4 linked regions of the Tamandua tetradactyla genome follow. The main gene of each other region encodes a partner of the protein of the gene in region 4 in a complex. Links are inferred from orthologs where the notes say so. Each region holds a gene or a part of one and is shown on either strand. Other genes may lie near its edges.

What was found.
Region 1: the proteins of SFN (region 4) and NPM1 are in contact, whole or in part, in a crystal structure (PDB 7OBG), measured with the Homo sapiens proteins. The link is inferred for Tamandua tetradactyla from reciprocal best matches to the Homo sapiens genes SFN and NPM1. Residues at the interface, in NP_006133.1 of Homo sapiens: Lys49, Arg56, Arg60, Lys122, Asp126, Arg129, Tyr130, Glu133, Gly171, Leu174, Asn175, Val178, Glu182, Ile219, Leu222, Asp225, Asn226, Leu229, Trp230; in NP_001341935.1 of Homo sapiens: Trp288, Gln289, Trp290, Arg291, Lys292, Ser293, Leu294.
Region 2: the proteins of SFN (region 4) and YAP1 are in contact, whole or in part, in a crystal structure (PDB 6G6X), measured with the Homo sapiens proteins. The link is inferred for Tamandua tetradactyla from reciprocal best matches to the Homo sapiens genes SFN and YAP1. Residues at the interface, in NP_006133.1 of Homo sapiens: Lys11, Glu14, Cys38, Glu39, Asn42, Leu43, Val46, Lys49, Arg56, Lys122, Arg129, Tyr130, Gly171, Leu174, Asn175, Val178, Glu182, Leu218, Leu222, Asp225, Asn226, Leu229, Trp230; in NP_001123617.1 of Homo sapiens: Ala125, His126, Ser127, Ser128, Ala130, Ser131, Leu132, Gln133.
Region 3: the proteins of SFN (region 4) and MAPT are in contact, whole or in part, in a crystal structure (PDB 4FL5), measured with the Homo sapiens proteins. The link is inferred for Tamandua tetradactyla from reciprocal best matches to the Homo sapiens genes SFN and MAPT. Residues at the interface, in NP_006133.1 of Homo sapiens: Asn42, Ser45, Val46, Lys49, Arg56, Arg60, Phe119, Lys122, Arg129, Tyr130, Glu133, Gly171, Leu174, Asn175, Val178, Tyr181, Glu182, Ile183, Ile219, Leu222, Asn226, Leu229, Trp230; in NP_058519.3 of Homo sapiens: Arg528, Thr529, Pro530, Ser531, Leu532, Pro533, Thr534, Pro535.

Annotation. Positions count from the first base shown.
Region 1 is NC_135346.1:52,611,275-52,618,929, forward strand, and holds the start of NPM1 (nucleophosmin), read left to right. Parts: upstream 1-4,653; 5' UTR 4,654-4,775; coding exon 4,776-4,833; intron 4,834-6,840; coding exon 6,841-6,920; intron 6,921-7,478; coding exon 7,479-7,598; intron 7,599-7,655. UniProt on the Homo sapiens protein: Involved in diverse cellular processes such as ribosome biogenesis, centrosome duplication, protein chaperoning, histone assembly, cell proliferation, and regulation of tumor suppressors p53/TP53 and ARF.
Region 2 is NC_135334.1:40,798,968-40,806,753, reverse strand, and holds the start of YAP1 (transcriptional coactivator YAP1), read left to right. Parts: upstream 1-4,774; 5' UTR 4,775-4,924; coding exon 4,925-5,245; intron 5,246-7,786. UniProt on the Homo sapiens protein: Transcriptional regulator with dual roles as a coactivator and corepressor. Critical downstream regulatory target in the Hippo signaling pathway, crucial for organ size control and tumor suppression by restricting proliferation and promoting apoptosis.
Region 3 is NC_135332.1:20,798,963-20,806,652, reverse strand, and holds the start of MAPT (microtubule-associated protein tau), read left to right. Parts: upstream 1-4,690; 5' UTR 4,691-4,811; intron 4,812-7,690. UniProt on the Homo sapiens protein: Promotes microtubule assembly and stability, and might be involved in the establishment and maintenance of neuronal polarity.
Region 4 is NC_135328.1:199,376,801-199,382,627, reverse strand, and holds SFN (14-3-3 protein sigma), read left to right. Parts: upstream 1-3,901; 5' UTR 3,902-4,068; coding exon 4,069-4,815; 3' UTR 4,816-5,310; downstream 5,311-5,827. UniProt on the Homo sapiens protein: Adapter protein implicated in the regulation of a large spectrum of both general and specialized signaling pathways. Binds to a large number of partners, usually by recognition of a phosphoserine or phosphothreonine motif.

The sequences.
Region 1 (7,655 bases), on a different chromosome or scaffold from region 4:
TTAAAAATGTGTACATAAAGAAAAATTTTAAAAATTACCCACCTTTGGAAAACAAACAAAAAAACTAGCCCCCTTTGGAGACTATTAAGGTTCCACTTTGTTATTCTGAAAAAAGGTAAGGGGAAAGACAACGATTTTCCTGCCTACTGTTTTCAGGGTAACCAATTAGTTGACAACCTTCATAAAAGAATTTCAGATAATAAATGCAGAGGGAGTGACAGAATTAGAAATAATGGATTGAAGCAACAATCCACTAAAACTCTTAACTGAAAGATGAGTGGTGAATGGTGAGTTGATAAAGGAAGAATCAGGTCAACACCACCTGATTGAACTTAACATTACAAAACAGAGACACACCAGACAATACGTGTCTCCTAATGCAACAGGAAGTATTCTTGCCAATAAGTCTAGAAGCCTCTAGATCAGCACCGCCTAGTAGAACTTTCTGTGATGATGGAAATGTTTTGGTGTGCTATCCAATACCATAGTCATGATCCACATGTGGCTATTGAATACTTGGCTAGCGAGACTGAGGAATTGAATTTTTTTCCCCTTAAACTTATTTTGAAATAATTTAAACTTGCAAGAGTTTTACAAAATCCATATAGAGAACTCCAACACTCCACCCCCACTGATACCCAGACCTCCAATTTTAACATTTGCCACACCTGCTGTAGCAGTCTGTCTATCCAGCTACCAAATTTTCCAAACACGTGAGAGTAATTTGCATACACCATGCTCCTTGAACACATAAGACTTCCACGCGCATTTCCTAAGAACAAGGACATTCACATGTAACCACCTTAAGTACAGTTATCAAGTTCAAGAACTTTAACACTGATATAAAATTACAGTTTATATTCCAATTCCAACTTTTTTTTTTAATAGGTCCTCGTACTGTTTTTTTGGGACTTTTCTCCTCCACTATTAAATCCAGTCCTGGCTTATGTATTGCATTTAATCGTCATCATCTCTTTAGTTGCCCTTTATTTAAAATTATGGAAACAAACGTACATAAACTTTCCTATCCCAACAACTTCCAAGTATATCATTCAGTGGAATTAATCACATAAACAACGTTGTGCTACCCTCACCATCATCTATTACCAGAATTCTCTCATCACTCCAAACAGAAACCCTGCACCCATACGCAGTAACTCCCCACTCTTCCTCTCACAGGTACTCTACTTTCTATCTCTATTCATACTCCAGCTATTTCACATAAGTAGAATCTTAAAATATCTATTCCTCCGTGTCTGACTTACTCCACTAAACATGATGTTTTTAAGGTTCATACATGTAGTGTTATTTTATCAGAACTTCATTCCTTTCTAAGGCTGAGTAATATTCCATTGTTTATGTATACCCCATTTTGTTTATCCATCCATCTGGGAATGGACACATGGGTTGCTCCTACCTCCTGGCTATTCTGAATAACTCTGCTATAACCATTGGTGAACGTTTATCTGAGTTCTTGCTTTCAATTCTTTGGGGTATATAACTAGAAGTGGGATTGCTGGGTCATATAGTAGCTCTGTTTTTTTTGAGGAACTGCAAAACTGTTTCCTACACTGGCTGCACCATCTTACATTCTAACCAACCATGTACAAGGGTTTCTATTTTTCTGTCTCCTCGACAGCACTTATTATTTTCCATTTAAAAAATAATAATAGCCATTCTACGAGGAGAATGAGGACAGTGAGGAGGTAGGATGTGAATTATGTTAAATTTAAATAGCCACATGTAATTAGTGGCTACAGCATCAGACAGTGCAGCTCAAGATCTACCTACTAACTTTCAGAAAATTCAGGGATAACGGGACATGTTAAAGGAAACATCTCAGTATAATGTATAGATCTTGCTTGGATCCTTATTCAAACAAACTGGAAAAGACAATTGTGGACATTTAAACTAGGTAATTCATAATGTTAGGAATTAGTTAAAATTTTTATTTGAATCACAATGGTATTATGTTCAGATTTTAAAGATTGTTCTTATCTCTCAAAGAAAGGTACTGAGATATTTCTAGATGAACTGATAAATGTCTTGGACTTTCTTTAAAGAGGCCGATGGAGGTGGAAGGGGAAGGAGAAGGTATATGTGAAACAAGATTCTGTATGTTGAAGTTAGATGATGGGTAAATGGATTTTTACCATAGCATTATTTCTGTTTTTATGTATTTGAATATTTCCATCATAAATGTGTTAAAAATGAAGGAATAAATAAAACCTGGAATTTTAAAAATAGGACGTATGTTCATCCTATGGAATACTATGAAACTCATAAAAAAATAATACAGTTGGACTCTATTATATAATGGAAAGATAGCTAAGCCACACGAAGTGAAGGGACAAAGTTGCAGAACAATATACAAATACATGAAGTGTGAATCTATTCATGTCAACAATAAAAAGATGTATTTATATGTACATATGTTCATAAGTAATACCTGCCTTTCTACCGTAAGTTCTTTTTTAGCATATATTCTACACAAGTATTTTTAGATATCCATAATGATATATACATAAAGATTTTTACTAAGACATTATTTTTTAGAGCAAAATTATGGAGACAAACTCAATGCCCCTCAGTGGAGGAATGGACAGTTAAATTATAACACAGCCATATTATGAACTAATGTGGATAAATGTCCAAAATATATTTTTGACTATAGAAAGTTGAATAAGATGTGAATTACCCAGAATTTCAGAAAGAAACAAACAAAATGTAACTATATAGTCTGCCCCCTCCTTCTTTCTCTCCCTCTCTAAAACATATAAAGTTAGCTGGAAGGATACTCACACAATTAACAGTGGTTATTCTAAGATGGAAAGAGAGCCACTTGTAATTTTTCACTTTGTACAGGCCTATACCACTCTATTTTAAAAGACAATGAGCATTATTACATTTGTAAATCTGAAAAATGCAGTAAGTGGGTTTTCTAACTGCTTAACTCCATGAGATCATATCCAGACTAGATGCCTAAAACATTAGAAACAACAAATGTATTTATTTTCATGAGCCACAGCTCCTACCTGGTTCAGGCTCTGTACAAGTTTGCATTAAAATGATAATGACCCTGAAATCAGAAAGAAATTGCAAAGTAATTTCAACCTTTATTCGAGTGGATCAAAAAACAGTAACACCTCCTCCTTCACTCTCTTATAGCTCATCTTCACTTTTTCATTCTAAATGAACTCTCCTCAATCTGATCCTCCTGTTTCTCTACCTTTCCTAGTCCTTTACATACATATTCTTTCAAGTTTCAGTATTTTCTCTAGCAATTAGGCCATATTCTGCATCTCAAAAGATCCAAGAACAAAGACTCTTGTTAGGATTGGGGGTAAAGTGGGGAACAACTTGGCCCCTTCCACATATTGGTCTTATCTGATTTGTCTTTTTGCATAAGGATTCTCTAAATTTAGGATCTGGATTCTGTTCATTAATAATTGGTTTATTTATATTATAGCTGACCTTCCTAACTAGATTATATTTGTAGAAAAGGGAGTGGGGGCATCAATATCACTATTTTCAGTTCCCACAGTATTTCCTAAATTTATTGTTTGATCTGGTGAGGTAAAAATTAAACTAGGGGACCCTAACTTGTCAAGGTGTTGTGTAAGATGCTTATTTTCAAGCTCATTCTCAAAGATTCTAATTAAAGTTTACGCAGTCGTATAAGTCATACGCCTTCGCTCTAGAGGCATGCTGAAGATTAAGAACTGCATTATCTCAGGGTGGATCCTCAAAAGCTTTTTAAGAATGATGTAGCATTCATTGGGTTGCCCTGGAGCTAGAGAATCAATTAGTTCCCTGTCTCACTTTCTCCGTTTGGCAAGTTATTTCATACCTCTCGGCCCGTATTCTGGTGTGCATAATGGGGACAGTCACATATACTTCACAAGGCCTTGTATGGACATACTGTGCATACACAGTCCTTTAAAAAGCTTCTTTGAAAAAAATCAGGCACGTATGGTCCCTTGCCCTGCGCGGTGGAGAGGGATGACAGTCCCATTTGGCCCCAGAAGCGAAAGGACAACTATAAAGACGTAAGTGAGTTAAGTTCGGCTAGTAGCTAATTCTTTTCTTCCCAGCGCAATGCAACAGAAAAGTTGTAGTTCACTCTGTCTCTGGCAGCTTTAGCTTTTCTAACTTTGGGGAAACAATGAACTCCGAACTCAGGCCTTCAGGCAAGTAAAAAATCCTGGAGCGTGCCTGTTTGGAGACCTCCGGGGCACGAGGGGACGAAGAAAGGAAAACCGAGCGGCTCTCTGAACACTTACAAACAGGATCAACCTCCTACCTAAAAGAGCTCTGGGGGCTGCCGTCGCCATTTTGCAGGGTGGGCTGCGTAGGATCTGGGCGTGCGACCCGTGCGACTAGCGGAGCGGACGTGGACGGGTTGGAGGTGGAGGCGCCCGGCAAGGGAAACGCGTGCGCACAGAAGAGGGCGACGGAAGGGTGGGGCCAGGGTAAGAGTGCGCGTGCTCGGTGGAAGCCCGCGAAGTACCTGGAGGAGGTAGGGGTGAGGTAAAAAGAAGATGGGATAAAGAGCGCTTGCGCGGGAGGTCGACTGCAAAAGGAGGGGGCTCCCAAGCACGCGCGCGGAGGCGGGACTTGGAGGATCTCGCGAGATATACAGGGATCTATATAAATGCGCGGGGGAGCGCGCGTCCTTTCCCTGGTGTGAGTCCGTCCTGCGCGACTGTTCTTTGCAACAGTGGTTGTCTATCTCCGTCCGTCTTCTCACCTGTTTAAGTGCTTGCCACCACCCCATGGAAGATTCGATGGACATGGACATGAGCCCCCTGAGGCCCCAGAACTATCTTTTCGGTAACTGCTGGAGGTTTGGAGCGAGGTCGAGCAGGGCCTGGTGGCTTTGAGGTGGGGGTGGGGAGAATGGGTAATGGAGATCTTACTGAGGCTTGGGCTGGTGGAGGAAGCTAAGCGTGCTGGAGGCCCGAGGGAGGGAGGGGCGCAGTGGGAGCCCAGGAACCTGAGGGATGGGGAGCGAGGAAGGCCGATGCCGGAGCTTGGGAAAGCCTGCGGCAGGAAGTGGGGGAATGGGAGCGGCCTGAAGCCTGGGGCCTGAGGCCTAGTGCGTGAGGGCGAGGTAGAACCGGGTGAAGGTTTGGCTTTGCCTTGGTATGCGGTAGAGCTCCGGCTTTTTCTTTGTCGAGACACGTGGGAGTTGGTATGTCTTTGATTCTAGGCCAGTATGTTTGCTGCTGGATCCCCAGGTATTGGTCCAGAAGGTCGTGTGGGCTCTTGGGGAGGCCTGAGCCTATTTTTCTGCAGAAGAGAATAGCTATAGGCTGGAGTTAGAGGCTTCGCCAGGTTTCCGGATCTCAGCGTCCAGGGCTGTATTACTGACTCTCGGTCTTGGTCTCTTGGCCGGTTGTAAGGGGGAGGGGAGGCACAGCGGGATGAGAGGAGGCCGCAACCGCTGGCAGCACGTGGTTGCCACGTGGTTGGGGGAAGGAGGAGGCGCGGGCTATACATCCGGGGCCTCCTAGTGTATGTCAACCCGGAGCCAGGGATCTTGTTGTGGCTTAATTGGAGTTGTTGGGCGGGAAACGTTAGGTGAAGTGATTGGTAGCGCTAGGGTTCTGGAGATCTTTGTGCAGTTCTTTGCACATACAGTAGTGGTAGTAATCTTCTATAGGGCTTTTTTCTGTGTCACTGCGTTAATGGTCTTAGCCCCATTTTGCAGATGACGATACTGATGTTCAGAAGTTAAGTGGCTTAAGAATTTACTTGTAGGAAATGGATGCTAGAGCCTATCCGAGACTTTGTTGCTCTGTCGGTGCTGTGTAAATAGGGTAACGAGGCTTTTTTTGTTTTCTTTTGTCTTTGGTGGGTTGGGGATGGCGGAGGCAGCCCTCTGGCAAGGGATAACCCTACTCAGCCCGCTTTTGCCTCCCACCATATGTAAGTACTGAAGGAGAGGCCTGCTTTGGTTTTCAGTCTCAGGAGGCTTATTAACTGAAAGCTTTTCCTTGTGGGCAGTCAGGCCATATCCAGGGTTTTTAACCTTGGAGTAAGTGCAAATATCGCCCCAAATTTGATTTCTTTATTTGCTGTTCTAAGACTTATTTATTGGGCAATAATATTCAAGCATGCACATCCGGTTAACTGTTACAGTGCTTATTAAATAGAATTATTTGAATTAACTCTGTTATGACAGTATTAAAACAATTTTCCCATTCCTATATGAAATGTATCTAGCATTTTAGACATTCAGCACGTTAAGGCATTACTTCTAAGTTGCTAACCAGTTTATATAAAAATATTTGTTCCTTTTATTGGAAACACCACTGGAGTATATCTTGTGCTTTAGAAGTGATTACTGAATTACTAATGTACAACACCTTCTGTTAACTTAAAGGTAATCGGAAGGCCCTTGTAACAAGGTTTGTTTGTTGGTGTTTGAGTAGGCTTCTCCCCCATTTCTAATTTGCTGCTTTTGGGGGGCAGTTTAGACAGATAATATAACTTTAAAATAGTGGGAGATTATCAACTTTGTACATTAAGTTTGGCCTCATAATGGTTAAGTAAATCTTTGAGCTGAGTTCTAGCAGCAGAATGGTTATAGTGCCTGTCTCATGTAGTGGAGAATGAGTTGGGGAAATGGAAAAGTAGAATTTATAAAGCCCTGTATGGATTTTATTTGACGTTTATAGAATTCTGTATTCAAAAAATCTGAGAAGAGATCATTTTGTCTTGCTCTCTGGAAGCTAGAATAGTAAAGTGAAAAACAAGTTTGCAAGTTATCAAAATGGTAAAGGTAATTTCAGTTTCAGTTTTCGCTCATGTTGGTTACTTTTTTCTTCATTACAGGTTGTGAATTAAAGGCTGACAAAGATTATCACTTTAAGGTGGATAATGATGAAAATGAGCACCAGTTATCTTTAAGAACGGTACTTAAAATTTCAAAATAAACTACTTAACCTTTCTTGATTTCACCCTTTTGGATCCTGTTTATCTGGCTTATGACTTTCACTGTTTTCCTGACTGCTGATAACAGCATCTTTATGATTAGTTGTTATAAGTACTGGATAATATATACACCTGTGATACAGACAGTACTGGGCATCTTTACCACTCTTCATATAGTCACATCACTTTTTAGCTTTCCTTATTTATATACTTTGCTTCATCAGTTGTGTTATAAAGCCCTCTTGTCAGTTATAATCATTTATTCCTCACTGAGACCAACCTAGCATTCAATTTGTAGTAGGTGCTCTACTGTATTTGTTAAGCTATCCATGCCATGTTTATGCATTTCTTCAAATTCGCTGAATATGAGAACTTGTGCACACGAAAACTGTAACACTTAAATTGTGCATAAATTGAAGATTAGTTTTCCATCAATGGTGATAATGAAAGGTTTATAGTTTTTTAAAAACTTTACACATTTGGGGGCAGATTGTAAAATAGCGGAAGCTTGAGGATGAGGGACTATTTTTTGTTCACAGGTCAGTTTAGGGGCTGGTGCAAAGGATGAATTGCACATTGTTGAAGCAGAGGCAATGAATTATGAAGGCAGTCCAATTAAAGTAACACTGGCAACTTTGAAAATGTCCGTACAGCCAACGGTAAGAGCACTTAAATCATACTGTGTTGAAGTAGTATAATGAGGTTTAAATCAAGAA
Region 2 (7,786 bases), on a different chromosome or scaffold from region 4:
TAGTGATACCAAGAGCAGGGTGTTGAAGAGGGCACCCAATTTGGGGGCATGAAAAAGTGGGTGAATCATGATGCCATTAACTGAGATGATGAATCAGAAGGAGGGTGTGGCTGGAAGGGCATGTATGTGGTTGGAAGAGGGGAGGGTAAGGATAAAGAGTTCTGTTTCGGATGTTAGTCACAGGGTAAATAAACAAAAGGTGAGAAAATGAAGAACAGACGTGGACTGCTTTTCCTAAAAACATACCTGTGGAGGGATGGGCCTGTCAGCATGTATACCTGTTTCTGTGAGGTCAGGGGATGACATACAGAGTCTTTGTTGTGATGGCCTCCTTTTCTCTGAGCAGTTGGAGATGACATCATTTTCTGAAGGGTAAGGGGTGATGGATGCATATAATGAGGAGAGCGATGAAGTTTTGAGTAGCCATATGATATGAGGGAGGACAAGTTGACTGTGGACCCATAGAAACATTGTTAAAGACTATACCTGTGGAGGGGACCAGTCTACTCAGCTGTGAGGTTCCCTTCAGCGGTTCCCAGGAACCTGGGTGTTAGCCAGGCTCCCAGGGTCTGAAAGAGGGCTGGCCACTTCCTCTTTTCAAGTTCCCAGTATATTCAAGCATGTCAGAAATGCCAAGAGAGGACTGCAGAAGCAGAGAATGTTTTAAATGCCTACACTTTGCAAATAATTACAAGGTAATATAATTGTGCTACTCACCAGATAATTACAGAATTTACTTAAAATATTAATCCATAATCTATTACAGATAGTGTCCTTTGGTTATGGGACAAAGTTTAAAGTTCTACAAGAAATGCCTTCTTGTAATGGTGTAGGTATATCTCTGAGATGATAGCATAATCTCTTCTGGACAAAATGTCAAAAGCTTCAATTGATGCTATTAATGAAAGAGCGGCTTGGGTCCCCTAGTCCTTGGACGTTGAAGTGGAAAAGACTGATAATTGGATTAATCCAGCTTAGTAGATCCTGCTCATTGAAAACATGAGGCAATGGAATTGAGAGCATAGATATTTATGAGAGGTTGAAGCAATGGATTATTATCTCTAAACGAATAGAAAAGGAAGTGAAAACAGGAGAGAGTGATAGATTGGGAGAAAGGAGAGAAGTCATTGTAAATGCAGTGTGAGTAATGAAACAAGATCATTTGGATATTAAGAGAATGATATATCCTCCCTACATGGGACATGACATCCAGGGGTGTCTCCCTGGTAACATGGGATTTCACTCCCAGGGATGAGCCTGGCCCTGGCACAGTGGGATTGACAATGCCTTCCTGACCAAAAGGGGGGAAAGAATTGTGACAAATAAGGTATCAGTAACTAGAGAGTTCAAATAGAGTCGAGAGGAGGCTATTTTTACACAAGCTTCAGCTAGATATTGCTGTTTACCATGGTTTGCCAACCCCCAACCAAAACTATTCCTGCCAATCCTAAAGAACACCTAGGGCTCTATCTGAGATTCTACAAAGGTTCTGTGCACTATAATTACTTTCAGAAACCTACAACTTCTAGATGGGGTCCTGAAACTCAGAGGGGCCAGCCTCTCCAGAACATCAAGTAATTCCACCCCCCATCCCATATTATCAATAGCCCTTTCCAACATGAAAGAGTTAGAATGAGCACAGTCCAAATACCCTTAAAGATTGGGAGAAAGATCAAAGGAGAAGGTGGAGTTATAACAGAGAATATAGGAATTGTCTAATGAGTATTACTGTTGAATTATATTGATACTTCTTTTAGTCTCCAGTATCTGGAGCAACTATAAGGAAAAACCTGAAACTGTGGAACTATAATCCATGCCAAACTCTGAATTTGTTCTTTAATTGTTGGGGTGTGCTTTGAAATTTATTGCTTTTTTTGTATATAGGTTATTTTTCACAATTAAGAAAAGAGTTTGATTTCAAGACTGAGTTATTTTGGGATGATGTTAGGGTGCAGACACAGGAGAAGGTGGCTGAAGTGGGGTGGAGGTGAGGATTCAGTGGAGTTGAGAGGTCAAGTAATTCTAAGAGTAGTGTTTTGAGAGGATAACCTACATGGACGTTGGAAATTATCCTGGTAAGTCTTTATATGAAGAAGGTGTCTCTCCATTTTAAGGTTCGTAAACTGGTAATTATTCCAAAAGGGGATGGAGAGAGGGGACAATGTGTTGAATACATGTTATTTTTATCCCTTTCTAACCTGATTGAAATTTTATAGGTGAGGAATACCAAGTTAAAAAATCCTGGTTGATGGTACAAAGGTACTTAGAGAACATAAAATCACTCCAAACAACTTTCCAATCCACTTATCCAAGTAATTTTGTCACAATTTCAATGGCAGGTGAAACAATATTGAACAAAGCAACCTCTGCTGTACCTATCCTAAGCCCTTTAATTGTAGTGTTCACAGTAGTAGATGCTGTAGTTAAGGGACAGCTTCCATTACAATTTCAGATTTTCAATCACTTTACTTCTTAAAATATTTTCATTCAAAGTTTTAAATGCATAGTTTCTACCCAAATGATCTATGGATGGATGGTTGAATGTGAGAGGAATGGTCTGCCAAGATCCCAGCAAGGACAGCTAATAACGCTGTGCTTAGAGAGGGACCCTTACTCCTCTCTAAAGAAGAGGCCATATCATGGAGTGTGTGTGTGTGTGTGTGTGTGTGTGTGTGTATGTGTGTGTGTGTGTGTGTGTGAGAGAGAGAGAGAGAGAGAGAGAGAGAGAGAGAGAAAGAGAGAGAGAGAGAGAGAGAGAGAGAGAGAAGTAATGTATGAACATGTGACAGTGTTAATAGCTGACATTATTCATCATACACTAAACACTGGGCTAAGCACTTTATCCCCATTGACTCATTTAATACTCCAACAACCTATGAGGTAGGTATTATTATCCTTCTCCTCCCCAGTTTTAAAGATGAGGAAATAGTAACTTGTCTAATGTCTCAGCTAGTAATGGTGTAATTGGGACCTGAAGCCAAATATCTATAACTCCATAACCCACAAACTTGTGATTAAATGCACCTGACATTTGGAGAGGGGGTAAAATCCAAGAAGGGGTCGTGGGCATCATTTATGCTGGGATTCTTCTTCAGATGGGAAATTGGGGTCCAGAGCACTTGATTAACATAGGGCATTAGAAGCTTGGCAGTCTGAAATATCATCCTCTGGCACGGCTCCACCACCAGATCCCTCAGAATTTCTGTGGGCACATCCTGGAGGAAGAGATTATCTTTTTTTTGTCAAGGGCTCTTTCCTTGTTTATACATCTTTCTTTGTTTCACTAGCATTGCAGATAAAATCATGAAAAGCAGCAGCCAGATTTCTTTAGAAAGGGTAGTAGATTTAAAGAGTGATGTTGCACAACCCTGTGAGTAAACTAAAAAAAAAACATTGATTTATATGGACTGAATTGTATGGTATGTGAATTATATCTCAAGCTGTTTCTTAAAAAATGAAGAGTGGTAGTACAAATTGAAAACAAATTTTGATTGCTCCTGGGTGCTTTCAAGTGACTTCCAGGCATATATGGCACTGCCATATTGAGGACCAGTGGTGTACTCCTGGCCCATTCATTTCTCATTCAGTCAACATCCACCGAATCCTGCATTGTACCAGCAACAGTGATAAAAAGGGGTAGACTCCCACCCCCTCTAGGATGAAAGAAAGGCAGGTACACCGAGGAAAGTTTGTAACCAAAGGTAGCACTGATTTTTCGCTTTGAGGTTTTCAGTGACTATGTTGCAAGTTTGAGTGCTACAATAGTTGATGTCACTTAAAAACACAATGAAACTCGTGTACTTTAATTCACCGGACAGGATGAGAGGCAGGCAGTCACAATGCCCCGAAGTATCTAAACACTGCAATCATATATCCCTTTCTAGTGGATACTCACATGCTAAAAGCTGAGTGAAAAAATACCAAATCCAACTTAGTGTTAAAAAACAGATTTTTATTAAAAGCGGCGCTTGCTACTGGTATCTGTTTTAACTCCAACCTATTCTTGCGGCTTTAACCCAGAATTGGCAGTACTGGTGGGGTTAAATCGAGCTAACGCGGGGCGGGTTTAAATGGATTTCCACGTTCTATACCAACTTTTTTCGGCCTTCCATTTCGTATCTCCAGGCAAGAGGAAGCAGCTTTTTCCCGAGGACTGCGGGGCGGGCCGCGTTCTCCAGAGAGACCAACCACAGTTCGGATCCAGGAGGGCCCAGTGTTTCCATCCGGCCGGCAGCCCTCTGCGTCCCGGCTTCTGCCCCTGGATACACAGCGGAGGACCAGACTGAGGGCAAATTAGTCACGTGCGGCCGGGAGTTTGCAGGAATGTAGTAACTTGCAGGAATGTAGTAACTTGCAGGGGAAAGTTTCCCTCCGCGGCTGGTCGCGGATTCGGCGCGGGCGGGCGCGCAGAGGAAGGAAGAGCCGGGAGGAGGCGGAGCCGGCGAGTGGCTCGGGCGGGCAGTTCTCTCAACTTTAGTTTTGGCGTCTGAGCCGAGTTTCTGTCTCAGTCGGGCGCAGTCGCCGCCGGGGAAAAGAAAGGGAGGAAGGAAGGAACAAGAAAAGGAAATAAAAGAGAAAGGGGGAGGGGATAAGCAGCTAGCTGTTCGGCCTCCGTCAAGGGAGGTGAAGGAAAAAAAAGTTCTCAGGCGCCGCAGGTCCGGGTCCTTCTCAGCCCCTCCCGAAGCGCAGCCGCCAGACCAGTGCAGCCGGGGCGCAGGGCGGGGGCGGAGGCGCCGGGCGGGGGATGCGGGGCCGCCGCGCAGCCCCCCGGCCCTGAGAACGAGGAGAGCGCCGCTCCCGACGCCCAGCGCCGCCCGGCCCGCAGCTCTTGCCGCTTCTCGCGTCTCGGCCCGTCGAGCCGGGGCGTCCGGGCGGAGCCCTCGTCCGCCGGGTTAGGGGGTGTGCGTCGGGGGAGGCAGAAGCTATGGATCCCGGGCAGCAGCCGCCGTCTCAGCCGGCCCCCCAGGGCCAAGGGCAGCCGCCCGCGCAGACCCCCCAGGGGCAGGGACCGCAGCCGGGGCCCGGGCAGCCGGCGCCCCCGGGGTCCCAGGCGGCGCCGCAGGCCCCTCCCGCTGGGCACCAGATCGTGCACGTCCGGGGGGACTCAGAGACCGATCTGGAGGCGCTCTTCAACGCCGTCATGAACCCCAAGACAGCCAACGTGCCCCAAACCGTACCCATGAGGCTCCGAAAACTGCCCGACTCCTTTTTCAAGCCGCCGGAGCCCAAATCCCACTCCCGACAGGTAACCTAGCCGCCTCTCCCCACATCCCCGTCGGGCGGGCCCCAGGCCTGGGCCGGGGTCGGGGGATCGGGATCGTAGCCCGGGCCGGGGCGAGGGTGTTCCGGGGTGTCTGTCGGGGGCTAGGGGGACTCTCCCCGGTGAGGTGTGCCAACTCCAGGCGCCCGCGCGGCCGCCGTTACCGAGTCCGGGAGTCGGGGGCCGAGATTTGTTTTTCCCCTTGGAGTTTCTCTCTGCGGCTGCAGCCCCGGGGAGTGTGCTTTTCCCCTTCTTCCTTTCTTTCTTTCTTCCCGGGGTTCCCAGGAGGTTGGCGGGAGTGGAGGGGGAGGTGGGGAGGAAGGAAGGGGGTGGGGAGAATCGCCGCCCGGGCCGCGGTGGGCTTGCACAATGCGCGCGCCTCCGCGCGCTCCGCACCTTCGCTCCCGCCGCGCCTGGGGAGGGGGAGGGGGGCCTCTGGCATTTGTGTGTGGGTGAGTTGCCAGCGGCGGCCGAGTTTGTGAAGTTGAGCCCTGGGCCCCCTTTCCTTTGGGCCTCCTGGTTCACTTCAGTCTCCTGGGGAGTCAAATAATTGTTCTCTTGTTTTCCAGTGTTGATTAGAGGGTGGGGGTTGAACCAGTCCATTTAGTTTCTTGCTCTTTTTCCCCCTCCCCCGGCCGAAGGCATTTATTTCCCTCACTGCCCCGGAGGTTTTAGAATACAGGATCCGGGCTTCCCCTGCCCAGGCTTTCCTGGAAGTTGTTTATGGAGTTAGATCTTTCACCCCTGGCTTCCCTTGAGACCTGGAACTCGGGCAGGCCCTCTCTTATTAAACCTAGTAGGTTCACGTGTTGGTTTCCTAGTTGTAAACTATTTACATTCTGCTGAAATGCTTTTAAATTAGCCACATCTGCACGTTACCCAGGCACTGAGTTGCGCATTACCCGTCTCGAGGTTTTAACACAGCCTTAAATAATACTCTGCAGGTTGACTCATAGGCAGAGTCCTGCCTAGTTCAACTGTGATTAAAAGTTAATGTTTGGGAAGCTATGACTAATTCTAGGATCGCCATTGCTTTCTGTTTTTTTTTTTTTTTAAGTTTTTATTTTTATTGCCATTGCTTTTTAGTTCTTGAGGATGTGAACATGGCTGCTTTCCCACCTAGACAACGTTCGATTATTTTGTCAACTTGATTTAATATTGAAGTGAAATTATTTTATTTTGACAGTGTTAACGTTCCGATACGTCTCAGATTTATTTGTGGAGATTTTATTTTTTTTAAGAACTTGCTTCAGGCTAAACTTCAGCATAGAAACTTTGTCCAAAAGTTAATTGGTTTTCCAAATACTGCACTGTAGTTAGTCCACTCGGGCTGTAACTTGAGTGGAAAGAAGAGTTACGCCCCCATTTTCCTTCCCTCTCCTGTTTGCAGGCCTGTTATATATTCTCTTGCGGCAGACTTAAGAGATTTTGGAACTCAGAAAAGTTCACTCAACCTGCTGACAAAAACCGGGGTTAAGGACGAGGAAGGAAAAACAATTTATCTGCTTGCATAAATACTCAATTTGTAAGAGGTAGTGGACTCAAGTAAACTTTTTTCTCTCACACCTGCAAATTGGCATCTGGACTCATGGGTAAATGCATGTTGGCATGCATCCTACAGAGCACACAGCTATGCTGCTGGTTACTTAATAAGTTTTGAAAGCATAATACACTAAAAGTAAAAAAAATTTCAACTGAAAAGTATACTTATTCTTCTAAAAATATTTACACAAGAACTTATACCCATCAGTTTGTGGATAATAGTATTTACCTGGCAGATTCCTACTATTTATAATCTATAGTTTTGTTTGTTTTTAAAAATTTCTGAACTGTTGTGCATCTGTAAGTTTAACTTTTATTTTTTCTTGGAAACTTGACTCTAGTTTTAAGGTATAAATGATTTTGCAGATTCCTCCCAGTCTCCCTTCTTTGCCTTTATGAATTTAGGTAGTTGAGACTTTTTAATAATCAAACCCTCTTTCTAATCAGTGGATTTTAAACAACTACTAAATTATGAATAGATTGAACCTGAGCTGTAAATACTCTTGTCCACAAACTACTTAATGTAAATTCTTGTGTATATTTCATTTATTACCACATTTTTCCATCATGAAAAAAACCGTTTTACAAATAGAGAAAACTGAGGTTTGCAGGTTAAGACATTGTTCATTGTCATACAGTCAGCAAGTTAGAGTAGCTTGGACTGGAACCCAGCTATTTAGGGGTCAGAGTGCAGAAAAGTTTTTGCTATTACACGGTTATAAATATGTAAGTGTGTTAGCTCTTAAGTTATATAAGAAATAGTTAAACTGTTAGTATCTTTGTCATGTAGGTAAAAAGATGTGGTTGGTTTTTCATTTCATTCATTAAGATAGCTTTAAAAAGACAACTTTGGGGTGGTTCTGGATCTTTTTGCATTCTTTAAAAGTTGTATAACTTGTGATGATTACTTTATTGATGGCATTTGTTTATAGTGAGTATAAATGACATTTGACATGGTTTAAGATTTGGCCTAGAAAAAACATT
Region 3 (7,690 bases), on a different chromosome or scaffold from region 4:
AGTATCTTTTTGCTTTTTACCTCCATTGTAAATCAAAACGCATATGACAGAGACTGTTAAGTTTTTACCAAATCCTTTCTCCTCCTCTTCCTGGGCACAATTAGAGGTAGCCATGTGACCAAGTTCTAACAGTGGGATGTGCTCAGAGGCCACTTCCAGCCTCTACAAGAGTCAGTGTACTTCTTCCACATCCTCCCTCTACTTCTGCCAGCTGGACCCTGTACGTGGTGACCCAAGCAAACAGCATGGCCTCATGAGTGATGGAGCCGCAAGATGGAAGGAGCCTGGGTCCCTGAACCTCATGTGAAGGAGGCTTCCCCCAAGCTGGAACTCCCACACCACACTACTATGTGAGTGAGGAAAAAAAAAGTACACTGTGTTTGAGTCATTACATTTTGGGATCTGTTGGAAGCATTCAGCTTACCTTGATTAATACAGTATGTCAAAAGATTTGGTGGCAGAGTTCCCAAATTCTACAAGTTTCTGGATCTCAGTTCTAACCCCACCTAGGACACTATTACATACAAAAATTGAAGCCTGATGAAGGTAATGAATTTGCTCAAAGTCACACAAGATGGCTAAGGTTAGAACGCAATGCTCCTGATAGCAATTAAATTCTCTTTTCCCTATGCCATTTTGCCTTCTATGGTCAATATGTTAAGAGCATGACAGGCTGTACATGGCCATGAGCTTTCTCTTTCATCAAAGGGGAAAGGGGAGGAAGAGAGGGACAGGATGCATTTTCTTGGCCTGACTTACTGAGCCATTAGCTACCTACAATGATTAAATTATCCGGAATGAACATGCAACTCCACATTAAATATAGTTGGATGACAGATCTGCTTAAGATTGTTGCTGTATTCATTACCTCAACTTAATGTAGGCAAATGTGATTGTTCTAGTTGCCGGAATACAATATACCAGGGACGGAATGGTTTTTAAAAGGGGAATTTAATAAGTTGCTAGTTTACAGTTCTAAGGCCGAGAAAAAGTCCCAATTAAAGCAAATCTATAGAAATGTTCAATCTAAGGCATCCAGGGAAAGTTATCTTGGTTCAAGAAGGTCAATGAAGTTGAGGGTTTCTCTCTCAAGTGAGAAGGCACATGGCGAATACAGTCACAGTTTCTCTCTCTGCTGTTAGGGCACATAGTGAGCAAGGCGTCATCTGCTAGCTTTCTCTCCTGCTTCCTGTTTCATGAAGCTCCCTGGGAGGCGTTTTCCTTCGTCATCTCCAAAGGTCGCTGGCTTGTGGGCTCCCTGCTTCTCATGTTTATGTCATTCTTCTCTGCTCTCTCTGAATCTCTCATTCTCCAAAATGTTTCCTCTTTTATAGGACTCCAGTAAACCAATTAAGACCCACCCAAATGGGTGTAGACACATCTTCCCTAATCCAGTTTACCAACCACTCTTGATTGGGTTACATCTCCAGGGAGATGATCTAATTACATACAGTATTGAATATGGATTGTTCTGCCTTTACGAAATGGGATTTTGATTAAAACTTGACTTTTCAAGTGTACATGCATCCTTTCAAACCAGCACAGTAATCATTCAGTGTTAGGGGACTACAGTGTCACCAGGTCCCTGCCAATTATCAATTACACTGTATTTTAGAGGAAAGAAGATGAAAACTGAATGGAGAGGTATGTTATTTGGCTGCTAGTTATTTTACATATAGAAATGAAATGCTGTGTAGCAAAAGCATTGATAATGAAGATGATGTTGAAATAAAAACTACTAATTTTCATTTAACGAATGCTCATAATTTACTGGGTACTGTGCAAGACTTTACATGTACCATATATATTATCTCATTTAATCCCTAAATCTGTCAATTTTGCTTCAATAACAAATAAACCTAAAATCTCTGTGGCTTATATAACAAATGTTTATTTCTGGTTCCTATTCTATGTACCTCCTCACAGTTTTTTATTCTGGGCCTAGACTGAAGGAACAGCCCTATTGGGACATGCCATTCTTGCGGCAGAGGGGAAGAGTAAAAGAGCTGGTGAAAACTTGCAATGACTAGTAAAAGCTTCTGCTCTGGTGTGTGCATTCCATCCACCAGTTAAGTTGCCAATGACCATCACAAGGCCAAGTCGAATATCAAGAGGAGAACAGAGAGCCAGGACTCCGCAAACCACATGGTAGCAAGAGAGGACATATAATCCTTATGCAGGAAATGGGGAAAGGAAACTATTGGGTACATAATAAAATCTTGATCCTGCGAGACAGACATTAAACTTTGCCCATTTTCAGAGAGAAAATGAGTAACTCTGTTAAGCTTCTTCCAGAGGTTGGAAATATCCCTTTCAGTTAGCGTGATTAGGGAAGCCTTTGTTAAAATACTGGCGAGTGGAGAAAGAGGAAGGACTTTTTACACAAAAGAAAGCAGCAGGAAACAGACATGAGGAAGAGTTCCAGTCAAATAAGCTGTTTGACCACAGGGTAGAAGAGAGATAAAACTGGAGAGGGCATGTGCCAGTTTGAAAGGATGTATCTACCCTAGAAAAGCCATGTTTTAATCCTAATTCCATTTTGTAAAGGCAGCAGTTTCTTTTAATCCCTATTCAGTACTGTATGGTTGAAACTTTAATTAGATCATCTCCCTGGAGATGTGACACAATCAAGAGTGGTTGTTAAACTGGATTAGGTGGAGATGTGTCTCCACCCATTCCAGGTGGGTTTTGATTAGTTTACTGGAATCCTGTAAAAGAGGAAACATTCAGAGAAAAGGAGAGGTTCTGAGAGAGCAGAGAATGGCATAGCCATGAGAAGCAGAGAGTCCACCAGCCAGCGACTTTTGGAGATGAAGAAGCAAACGCCTCCTGGGGAGCTTCATAAAACAAGAAGCCAGGAGAGAAAGCTAGCAGATGATGCCGTGTTTGCCATGTGCCTTTCCAGATGAGAGAGAAACCCTGACTGTTTTTGCCATGTGCCTTCTCACTTGAGAGAGAAACTGAACTTCATCGGCCTTCTTGAACCAAACGTATCTTTCCCTGGATGCCTTAGATTGGACTTTTCTACAGGCTAGTTTTAATTGGGACATTTTCTCAGCCTTAGAACTGTAAACTTGCAACTGAGTAAATTCTCCTTTTTAAAAACCATTCTGTCTCTGGTATATTGCATTCTAGCAGCTAGCAAATTAGAACAGGGCAGGAGCTCAGATCATGTGGGACCTTGAATGCTGTGCTAAGGAGCTTAACTTCACTTAGGAGGCAGTTAGAAGCCTTTAGATATTTTAGGACAAGAAAATCCTTTGATTAAAATGATCAGGTCTGACTAGGGTGGGCCAGGTGGGCTGAGGGGGGGAGAAATTGAGAGCCAGGAGATCAATAAGATCACTGCATGTCCAGAAGCCAGGGACAGTCTTGAAGTAGGGTAGTGTAGCTAGAATAGGGGAAAAGAAATGTCAATTCCAGCGACTCATAACCAGTGGTTTAAGAAATTAGATCCCCATCTCCATCATTCCCCCCAGTAGGCCCAGTAATAATATATTAATTAAACCTGTATCAAGTGTGAGTGAAGCATTCTTAATAACTTGCTTTTTATATTACTCTGTAACAGACAACATTGGTTTTAAAAATAAGAGTGCTATGCAAATAAAGCTTCAAGACAAGTTCCCATTCTCCAAGAGGGAGCTAGCTGCCCCTAAAGCCCCCTACATAGAAAACCTCCCACTGTCAGGGTTTAAATTAGATGTTGAGGAAAGGAGGAATCCAGGCCCAGGAGGAGGAGAGCCGCTAGCCAATTTCTGACTGAGGTATTTTCCCGGTGAGAATCTTCCGCAGGCGCTTAGGCAATCACAGCTCAAGCTGCACGTGACAGTAGAATGGTGTTTCAACAAACGAAATGAAACGTTCTGCAATACGATGAGCGCCATTTGAACTTCGTCTATTTTAAGATTTCATCTGAGGGTCACGATAAGATACATAATTGATTCAAATGCTCATTACTTAAAAACTGTACTACGCATTACAACTGAGTTAGTCTGTGCTAAGAGGATCTGTCAAGGAAAGAATTCACCTTGGTCAATAAGAAAACAGGTGAAGAAAATAGAGAAAGGAATCGGGTCCTAGAGAAACTGACCTCCGACAAGGGGAAGGCTTCCATTTCGGGAGACCCCCGGGAGGGTCGGGGGCTCGGGCCCCGGACGAGCAGGGCAAGGCTCCGGAGTGGACGGACTGAGAAGCCGGACTTGTGGAAACTCGTTCAGGGTCTTTCCAAGCTAGAACACCGCCCCAGGACGAAGGGAAGGGAGCGGGCGGCAGACGTGGTGGGGAGGAGAGGGCAGCCTGCCTTGCCCCGACCACGTTGGGCCGCCAAGCCTCGGCCCCGAGGGAAGAGACCTCTTAGACTAGACAAAGGCTCCAGCGGCGGGAGCCGGGAGGCTGGGAGTACGCGTGCGCCCCAGAGCGCGCGTGCGCGCGGCGGTCAGCGCTGCGGCCCTTGGCGTCGGAGGAGGGGGTCTGGAGAAGGGAAGCGCCTAGAGGAGTGAGCGAGGAGGCGGAGAAGGACAGAGAGGCGGGGTGCTTGCGCACGCCCTCTGGTGGCCGAGAAGAAGCTGCCCGCGGAGGCCTGCCTGCCCACCCCTCCCTTAGGGAGGCTCGCGCTCGGGCTGCTCGCGCCTGCGCTGCCCGCCGGCCTCGGGAGCGCGCCTTCTCGCCGGTGCGCGCGCGCGCGCTCGCAGTCACCGCCACCCACCAGCTCCAGCACCAGCCGCGCCGCCGCCGCCCACCTTCTACCGCCGCCACCTCAGCCACCTTCTCCTCCTTCTCCGCTGTCCTCTCCTGCCCTCGTCCTCCAGCAGGTAAGCGCCGAGGCTCCGAAACCTGCCTCTCCCTCTATCCCTCTGCACCGTACGCAGCTGCCCTTCGCCCCTAGCCCCGAAGATGGGCTTCAAGCACTTAGCACCGATGGAGTGGCCACGACAGGAGCCCCTCCCTACTCCTTTTGCGCTCGGAGGCTTGTGGCTAGGTCGGCTTGGAAAGGGACGCGTGCAAGGGATGCACGGACGTGTGTGTGAGCTCGGGGTAGGGGTCCGCATAATCGGCTTCGCGCAGACCTCAGTCCCAGGTTGCGCCCGCAGGGTGGGGCGCGGATGGCGGTGACCTGGGGGAGGGGGTTGCTCAGCATTCTCCATCTCCGCCTTTTGCCGCAATGGGCGTGTATCTGTGTGTGTAGAAGGTGGGTGGGTATCCAACGATGACCCCCGAAAGCGAACCTGTAATCCGATTTCTCTGTCCCTGTTGCCGTCAGCTCTAAGGAGGTATGGGTTGGGTTCTAGAAAAGATGATTCCCTGCGTGCCCCTCCCTACACCTCTCCGGCAGCGATTCTGATGGGGCCTTCGCTGCCCCTGATTTAAGGCGGTGGCCCGCCCCTCCCCCTTTTTTCTCCTTCAGAAATCCACAGGGGACATTTGGGGGCTGGGAGTAGCATAGGAGAGATGGGGAGGGGTCCAGGCGCTGTCACTTTAGCTGCCCTTCCCCTGCGCGCTCCTGGCACCGAGACGCGAGCAGCGCCGTGCCCGAGAGAAGGTAGCGCGCAGATCCAAATGTGGAGGCTCGGAAAGGCAGGGGTCACACGGCCTTGCGAGGTGGACTGAGCGGCCCGCCGATCCTTGCTCGCGGGCGCGCACAGGTCGCAGCCTCGCACAGACCTGCGCCCGGCTGCAGGTGCATTTCGGGCGGGCCCCTGTCCCTGAGCCATGCGCTCTACGCCGGGCGCGGGGGGTGTGCGCTCCCTGCCGGAAGCGCGGAGCCGGCGCGCGGGGCTAGCCCCTCACTGCGGCAGTGGGTGTGGACCCGGGTGGGCGAGGAGGGGGAGAATGGGCTGTACCTTCTCCCACCCCACCCCCTTTTTTTCCCCTCTGATCGCGAGGTGCCATCTTTTTGCGGCGTGTCAGGTCTTTACCGTGCACGCCGAGCCGGGTGGCCCGGCTTTTGGAGGAGCAGGGCGGGGACTGATAATTGGGGGAGGGAGACAGCGCTGAAATCTTGGCGTTTTGCTCCTGCAGGCGCGAATACTGGGGCTTTTCACCCGGGATCTTTCTCGGGGGTTCGTTGCTTTGTTTGTAGGGGTTACGTGATCTGCACCCCCAGTCCTGGGTTGTTGGTTTTGTTTTGTTTTTTTCCTTTTATGAAATAAGGGTGCTTTGCCACTGCCCCTCCCCCCTTTTTTACCCCTCCATTTCCGAGCCTTTTGTTGGCTCTCGGGGCTTGCTGGGATCGATGAACTCGAGTCACAGCCCTGGGGGCACGTATGGAACGGGCGTGTCCCCGTGCGTCCTCCTCCCGGGGCCTGACAGTCCTTGGGGCTCAAGGGGTGGGATTCGGGGTCTCATACGCTCCGAGGGTGACCGCAGAGAGACTACGCCACTTCCCGGTCCCCGCACGTTCTGGGAGCCACGCCCCACCAGCCTGCCCAGCGAGGGGGCGCCGGCGACCCCTCGGGAGATACGGGGGAGTTCGCAGGCGGGGCCTATCTCCTCTGGAAGCCCTGTTGCTTCTCCCGGCGAGGGAACGTGGTGGCGGTGGCGGTGGCGGTGGGGACATTAGGTTCCCCTGGGTGCTGCAGCCACACCCATCTTTCTGAGTAGGAAAGGAAATTAGGAATAGGATGGAGCATGAAGTGGGAGTTGTCATGGAAACCACACGCGTCCGGACAAGGGACCCTGGGGAGCTGCCCTGCCCCTTCCCAGTGGAGCTTGAGCACTGTAGGAGGGACCGTGCCCCCTCGGCCTCCTAGATGGTGCGTGGGGATCGGGATGCAGCCGGATTCCTCCACCCAGAGCCCGTGGCTCTGCCTAATTGGTCAACGGCGGCCTCATCCACCCAGACACGGCGTCGCTGTTGCTTTATTATTACAGCCACAGTGATGAATATTGGTAGGAACGTGCGGGATTTCCACTTAAAAGACTGGGTTCACCGGCACCCTTGAAGCCAGGGTGGAGGGAACCCCGGCGGGCAAGTCGGAACCTTGCCCTCGTAGAGTCTACACCTGCGATGAGTCCGGTCGGCGCGGTTCTCTCTGGTTCATTCTATCGCTAAAAAGTGGCGCGGAGTGCAGTTCTGAGAGGGATGGGTATTTAGGGGCCAAATTTTCCCCGCAGGCGGCCCAAAGTGATCTGAACTTCCGGGACTGGCTAGGCTAGGGGTCGAGAGCCCTCCCCGGGTCAGGCCGCGCCCCCCACCGGCTAAGGCGTTCGGGGGGCGGGCGGGGGGCGCTGCGAGGCCTCCCGGCTCAGCTGGGCCAGCCGCGGGGGCGCTGCGGGAGCGGCTCAAGGATCCATCGGAGCATCTTCTCTCTCGCCCCAACAGGTCTGGGCGTGGAATTCTCGCTCCAGACTGAGCGAAGGTCCAGAGCGGCCCTGGAAAAGAGGAGCCCGCGGCCAGGGTGTCACCTTCCGTGGTTGGGGGAAAGAGTGCCCGCGGGGGCGAGCGCATTTAGCCTAATACTGGGAACAAAGCACCGTACACGCGTCTGCAGTTTCGCTCCATTTTGAAGTGTGTTGGTTTGGTGGGGCGCGCAGGAAGGGAAGGCCTGGAGGTTGTTAAAGGTAGAATCCCTGGGTCCAGGAATGGTTCCTGCGGCGATGTGTAAACTCCATTCCTGGCTCCCTGCGCTCTCTGTACGCTTTAACGAAAAGCTTCGCCCCCGGAATGCACGCGCATGCAGTGTTTGCGCCG
Region 4 (5,827 bases):
ATCTCTCACCTCTAGCTTTGTTCCAGCTTGTCTAGAGATTTTAAAAGACACACACACATACACACACACACACAATAAAGCCAAAAGAGACAAGAGTAGCCAGCATCCTTATCACTCTGCACCTCCACAACTCCGGTCTCAGTTCCAGGGATCCCCAAACCCAGGCTGAGACAGAGAGTTTAGCCCCAGTTCGTGGCTGTCACACTTTTGAATTGAGCCCCACCCAGGGTAACAATCTCATGGAATTTATCCTGTCCCCAGCTGCTGCCCAACATCCAGTCAAACACATACAGTGTGCAAGAGCTAGAAAATAATCACAGCTACCATTTACCAAGGACTGACCAAACACCAGACCCCTTTTCTTACCTTAACCAATGACGAAGGTGCTGTCAGTCCTGTTTTACTGCAGCTCAGGGCAGTTACAGGACCTGCCCTTGGTCACCTTGCTGGTAAAGCAGCAAATCCAGGATTTGCACCTGATCCCTGCCCTGATCTCTGGCCTGTCTGCCCTACCTAAGGAGTGATGAGGGCTGTTCCAGGAGAGTGGGCACTGCAGAGGGAGTGACCCAAACAGAGGAGAATGTCAGAGACAGCAGAAAGGGGGCTTAGAAAAAATCTGGGCCAGCCTCTTCAAATTGTATTGATGGGGAAACCAAGGCCCAGAGGCAGGCAGAGACTTACCCAAGGCCTTATATACAGAGCTGGAATGTAGTCCTATACCCTGACCTCGTACCATTTTCTTTCTACAAATTCCACACTATCTCCTAGACTAGATTGGTTTAGGAAATGAGGGATACTCTAAACAGCAGTACCATGAGGAGAAAAAAACAAAACAGCTGAGTCTCTTAAAATGTATCTGCTCCCAAAGGCAACTACCGTAGTGAGCTCTAAAAGAGCTGGAAAACTAGCCTCTTCTTCACAACTAAATGGGAAGAAGGTGCCATAGCCTCCTCGTGTCACCTTTTAGTTCGAACATTCCAAGACTGAAAAATTTCCTAGGAAGTTCTTTCTGAATCTAACTAGAGTCTTTCTTACTGCAGTCAAAGCCCTGTTCTCTGTTCTTGTGAAAGTAGATAGCAATTGGTTACTGTGTCACAACCCTTCCACTAGGAATTGATTGTCTATAGGCCCAGAGACCTTGAGGCTGCTGATAGGACAGATGCTGTGTGGAGGGGTGGGGAGGTTAGTAGAAGGGATGGGGAAAGTACCATTGAGCAGCAGCCCCAACTTCTGTCCTGCTGACTCAGGTGACTGACAGTGGAGCTCTGTGCTATGCCAGGACCTGCTGCCTCCTGCCTGTCTGGGCTCTGGACTTGGGAAACAGAAGCCTGGAGGCAAAGGGAGGTGCAGGAACTGAGTCAGGACTGACAGGCCAGAGCGAGCAAGAGGTTTCTAGCAACCTGTCTCCCAGATTCACCCCTGAGCTTCGGCAGGGGAGGGGCAGGTATGAAGGGGGACTCCTTTCCCTTGCTCTGGGGCTGTGCTGAGGGCATAGAGCTTTGGCATGAATCACCACCAGGTCCCCTGGCTTAAATGGTGGGAAGGGAGGACTCCCTGGAGTCCAAAGAAGTTTCCTGGTACCCTGGGACCTCGAGCTTTCCCCTCAGGACTTGGGAAAGCCTGGCTAAATGACTAGTGCAAAGGAAAGTACTTGAGGGCCCACAGCCTTCCTTAGACCAGAGGAATGTCCTAGATGGAGAGAGAAGAGGCAAGGTTTCAGCACATCTGTCCATTCATTCAGCTGGAGAGGGGAGAATGTGGGCCAACATTGCCTCCTTCTCTCTCCTGTGGGTGCCCAGCTGGGCAACATCTGGTCTTCGACTGAGGTCTGGTTGACAGCTCTTCCTCATTTCATAAACCCAGCTCCATGTTAATGCTTTGTGTGAATATGTTTATATAAGAAAGTTGGTTGGTTTTTTCACATAATAATAATAGTTACTGTAGTCACCACCACTCTCAAGTGCTTTCCCTGGACTCATTTAATCCTCACAAGTCTCATTTTACATTTAGGGAAACTGTGGCTCACAGAGATTAAGTAACTTGACCAAGGCCACAACAGTTTGTAGTGAATGAACCCAAGCAGTCCATCCAAAGATACTAGGCTGTGTTCTGTCTTTCATAGAAAATGATACATATTCACTACTGAAAATTTGGAAAGGATAGGAAAATCCCAAAGCAGAAAAGTCAGAGCCTCACTATCTAAAGTTACCCTCTATAAGTTGACATTTTAGTGTATTTCCTTTCCATCGTTTTCTGTGTCAGTGCTCCAAATTGAGCAGAGTCTTTGGGATGTCTAGCCTAAAATCCTTTCTGCTTCCTTGGAAAACCTAGGTCTAGGCATAAGCCTAGACATGTCCCTACTCTTCCATGAAGCAAAGAGGCATACCTCATCTTTGGGCTCCTTCCAGGAGGGCAGGGTGGGTGTTCAGATACCAAGAGGAACCAGGGAAGGCACAGCCCTGCAAAGCGGTCCTAGCTCAAGGATTAGACTGGTTGAGTTCCAGCAAGGGCAGTCCCTCCCCTGAGTCCCAGATGAGCTTTGGCTAGGGGTGGGGCAGATAAGAGGAATCCACTCTCATAGGCTCAGTGCCAATACCCTTAGGTGAAACTCTGGAATGACTGGAGGGCAGGGCTCAGTGAGCAGGGACAGAAGGTTGGCAAGGAGAAGATTCCATCTTTGGGACCTCTGCCAGGGGTCAGAGGTGGTGTAATGGGCAAAGGGAAGGGATAGGGAAACTTCTGAGAGGCTAGGCTGAGGAAGGAGTATATGCTGGATTGATGCCCCATAAAACAAAATGGTATGTGTCACCACCACCTCCATTTCCTCAGTACTGTCTCTCTCCCCACATTGCTGGCGTCCCCCCTGGGGAATCAGACCGGGCTGAGTACCCACGTGGTCTGCTTCCCACCCTCTGACAGAAGAGCAGGCTGAGTCAGGCAGGAAAGTGGGACAGCCAAGGAACTGGGCCCTCACCCCCCATGAGCCCTGCTGATACATAATGATGGCAGGTGGCTTGGAGGGGGCAGGTGGCCTAGCACAGAGAGCCAGAGAGTAAGTCCTCAAACAAGTGGCAACAGGCCACTGACTTGAAAGGGAAAATTGTGCTGTGATAGGGAAGGTGCCTGACAAACCTATTGCGTGACTAATTACAAAGGCCGGATTGGAGCGTCAGTGGCCGCTTGTTAAACACCTCATTAAGTGGCACCCTGAAAGCTGCCACCTCTGTAGTCTGGGAGCTCAAAGGGACCAGGACCCTGAGGGGAAATGAGGACGAGAGCTTGGGACCTTCTTCAGGGTCTAAATACAGCCTGGAGCTCACAGATCATAAAAGGCCTTGATGGGAGAGAAACCAAAGGAAGTAGGGTACAGAAGGGAGAGTCATAGGGATTTACTAGCTATGTGACCTTGAGCAAATTTCATCCCTCTCTGAGCCTCAGTTTTTCCATCTTTGAAGTGGGAACAGTGCTGCCCACCTTACAAAGCCATAGTAGGAAAAAAATTAGATCATGGATATGAAGTGCTTGGGAAACTGTATAATCCCACCTAAACATGAGTTACCTCATCTGAACCAAGGAGGCAGGATGAGGAACCCCATCCTCCTGTACCTGTCTATATGGGCACTGCCTGGGCTAAGTAGCCAGGTGGCTGATGCCATCTGTTTCCCCTGGAAAGATGCTGTGAAGGAGGATCTAATATGAGAAACCCAGACAGCTAAAAGGAACACCCGTGTAATGGCAGTCCTGAACAAGAGGAGGCAGCCAGGAGCCCCAAAAGGTGTTGGTGCAGGTGGGGCCCACTCCTGCATTTCTCCTGCTGACTGTTCTGATGACTCACCTCCACGTCCTGGCCCTTTTACCTTTAAGGAAGAGCCGGAAAGGGTGTGGGGAGAAGAGGAGAGGGAAGTAGGTCCCAGGCCTTAGTCCCTCCCCCTACCACTCCCCACCCTCCTCTGGGCCAGGCCACCCAGCCAAAAGGCAGGCGGAAAGCAGGAGAGGCACAGAGCTGAGTCCAGCATTGGTCCTGAGGCAGCTAGTAAGCCCAGCGCCTGTACGACTGTCCCCAGAGCCATGGAGAGAGCCAGTCTGATCCAGAAGGCCAAGTTGGCAGAGCAATCTGAACGCTATGAGGACATGGCAGCCTTCATGAAGGGCGCTGTGGAGAAGGGTGAGGAGCTATCCTGTGAAGAGCGCAACCTGCTCTCTGTGGCCTACAAGAACGTGGTCGGTGGCCAGAGGGCCGCCTGGAGGGTGCTGTCCAGTATCGAGCAGAAAAGCAATGAGGAGGGCTCGGAAGAGAAAGGGCCCGAGGTGCGAGAGTACCGGGAGAAGGTGGAGACCGAGCTCCAAGGCGTCTGCAACACTGTGCTCGGCCTGCTGGACACCCATCTCATCAAGGAGGCGGGTGATGCCGAGAGCCGGGTCTTCTACCTGAAGATGAAGGGCGACTACTACCGCTATCTAGCTGAGGTGGCCACAGGTGATGACAAGAAGCGCATCATCGACTCAGCCCGGTCGGCCTACCAGGAGGCCATGGACATCAGCAAGAAGGAGATGCCGCCCACCCACCCCATCCGCCTGGGCCTGGCCCTGAACTTTTCCGTCTTTCACTATGAGATTGCCAACAGCCCCGAGGAGGCCATCTCGCTGGCCAAGACCACCTTCGATGAGGCCATGGCTGACCTGCACACCCTCAGCGAGGACTCCTACAAAGACAGCACCCTCATCATGCAGCTGCTGCGAGACAACCTGACGCTGTGGACGGCCGACAACACTGGGGAGGAAGGGGTCGAGGCTCCTGAAGAGCCCCAGAGCTGAGCCGGGCCTGCCATCCACCCTGCCCTACCCCACCCTCTCCAGTCCCCCACCCCCGGCAGAGAGGACTCGTATGGGGTGGGAGGCCCGACCCTTCTCCCTTAATGCCCTGCCCTCAGCTCAGGAAGGCTCCATGGAGAGGAACCAGCAGAGCTGAGGCCACCTGGAGCCACAGCATCTCAGCTGTCAGGTGCTTGTGACCACTGATCTCCCCACCTGCCCCAGCTCTCTGCACCCCTTCCTCCGTATCCCGTCTGGGACCTGGGCCTCTTCTTCTTCTTCCTCTCCTGCCTCCCTCCTGCCCCTGCTGCCTCTGGATCTTCGGAATTGAGGAGTGTCCCACCCTTGTGTCTGAGAGGGGACTGTGGTGGGGAGGTTGGGAATGAGTGTGTGTGTGACCGTGTGTGTGAGTGTGAGAGCAAGATGGAGAATGAGAGGGAAAGCATGTTTGCTGGGTGTGACCATGTTTCCTCTCAATAAAGATCCCCTGTGACACTACTCCTGTCTTTTCCAGTTATTGTCGGTGGGCTGGGCCTGGGATTGGTGTATAATTTACAGAGACCGACTTTGGAGCTCTAGTTTAAGGGTCCCGACCTCCTCGAAGGGCCAACTCAGGCCCCACAGACGGGATTTTGGTGTGTGTGTGGGGGGGTGGCTCGAGATGAGAGGCAGATGGGCCAGCTCTCGTCAGGCTGGCCCCAAACAAACTGGGCCAAGGCGAGGGTGAGACTCCTCCGCCAGATTGAAGGGAGGTGAGGGATGCCTCAGTGCAGGAAGCCAGGGAGCTTGGGTCTGAGGAGGCAGGAAACTAGCGAGGGCTCAGGCTGAGGTCTCAGGACAAGGCCCCTAGCACGAGCGCTCCAGATTTGAAAGCCAAGAAAAGTCCCATTAAGTGTTCAGATCTGGGCGGGGAAAGGGAGTATGAGGCAAGGGTATGACGCCGCCATTAAAAGTTCAGATCTGAGGAGAGGGGAGAACAGAATGAAACGCGCTGTTGGGAAAGAGGCGCAAAGTG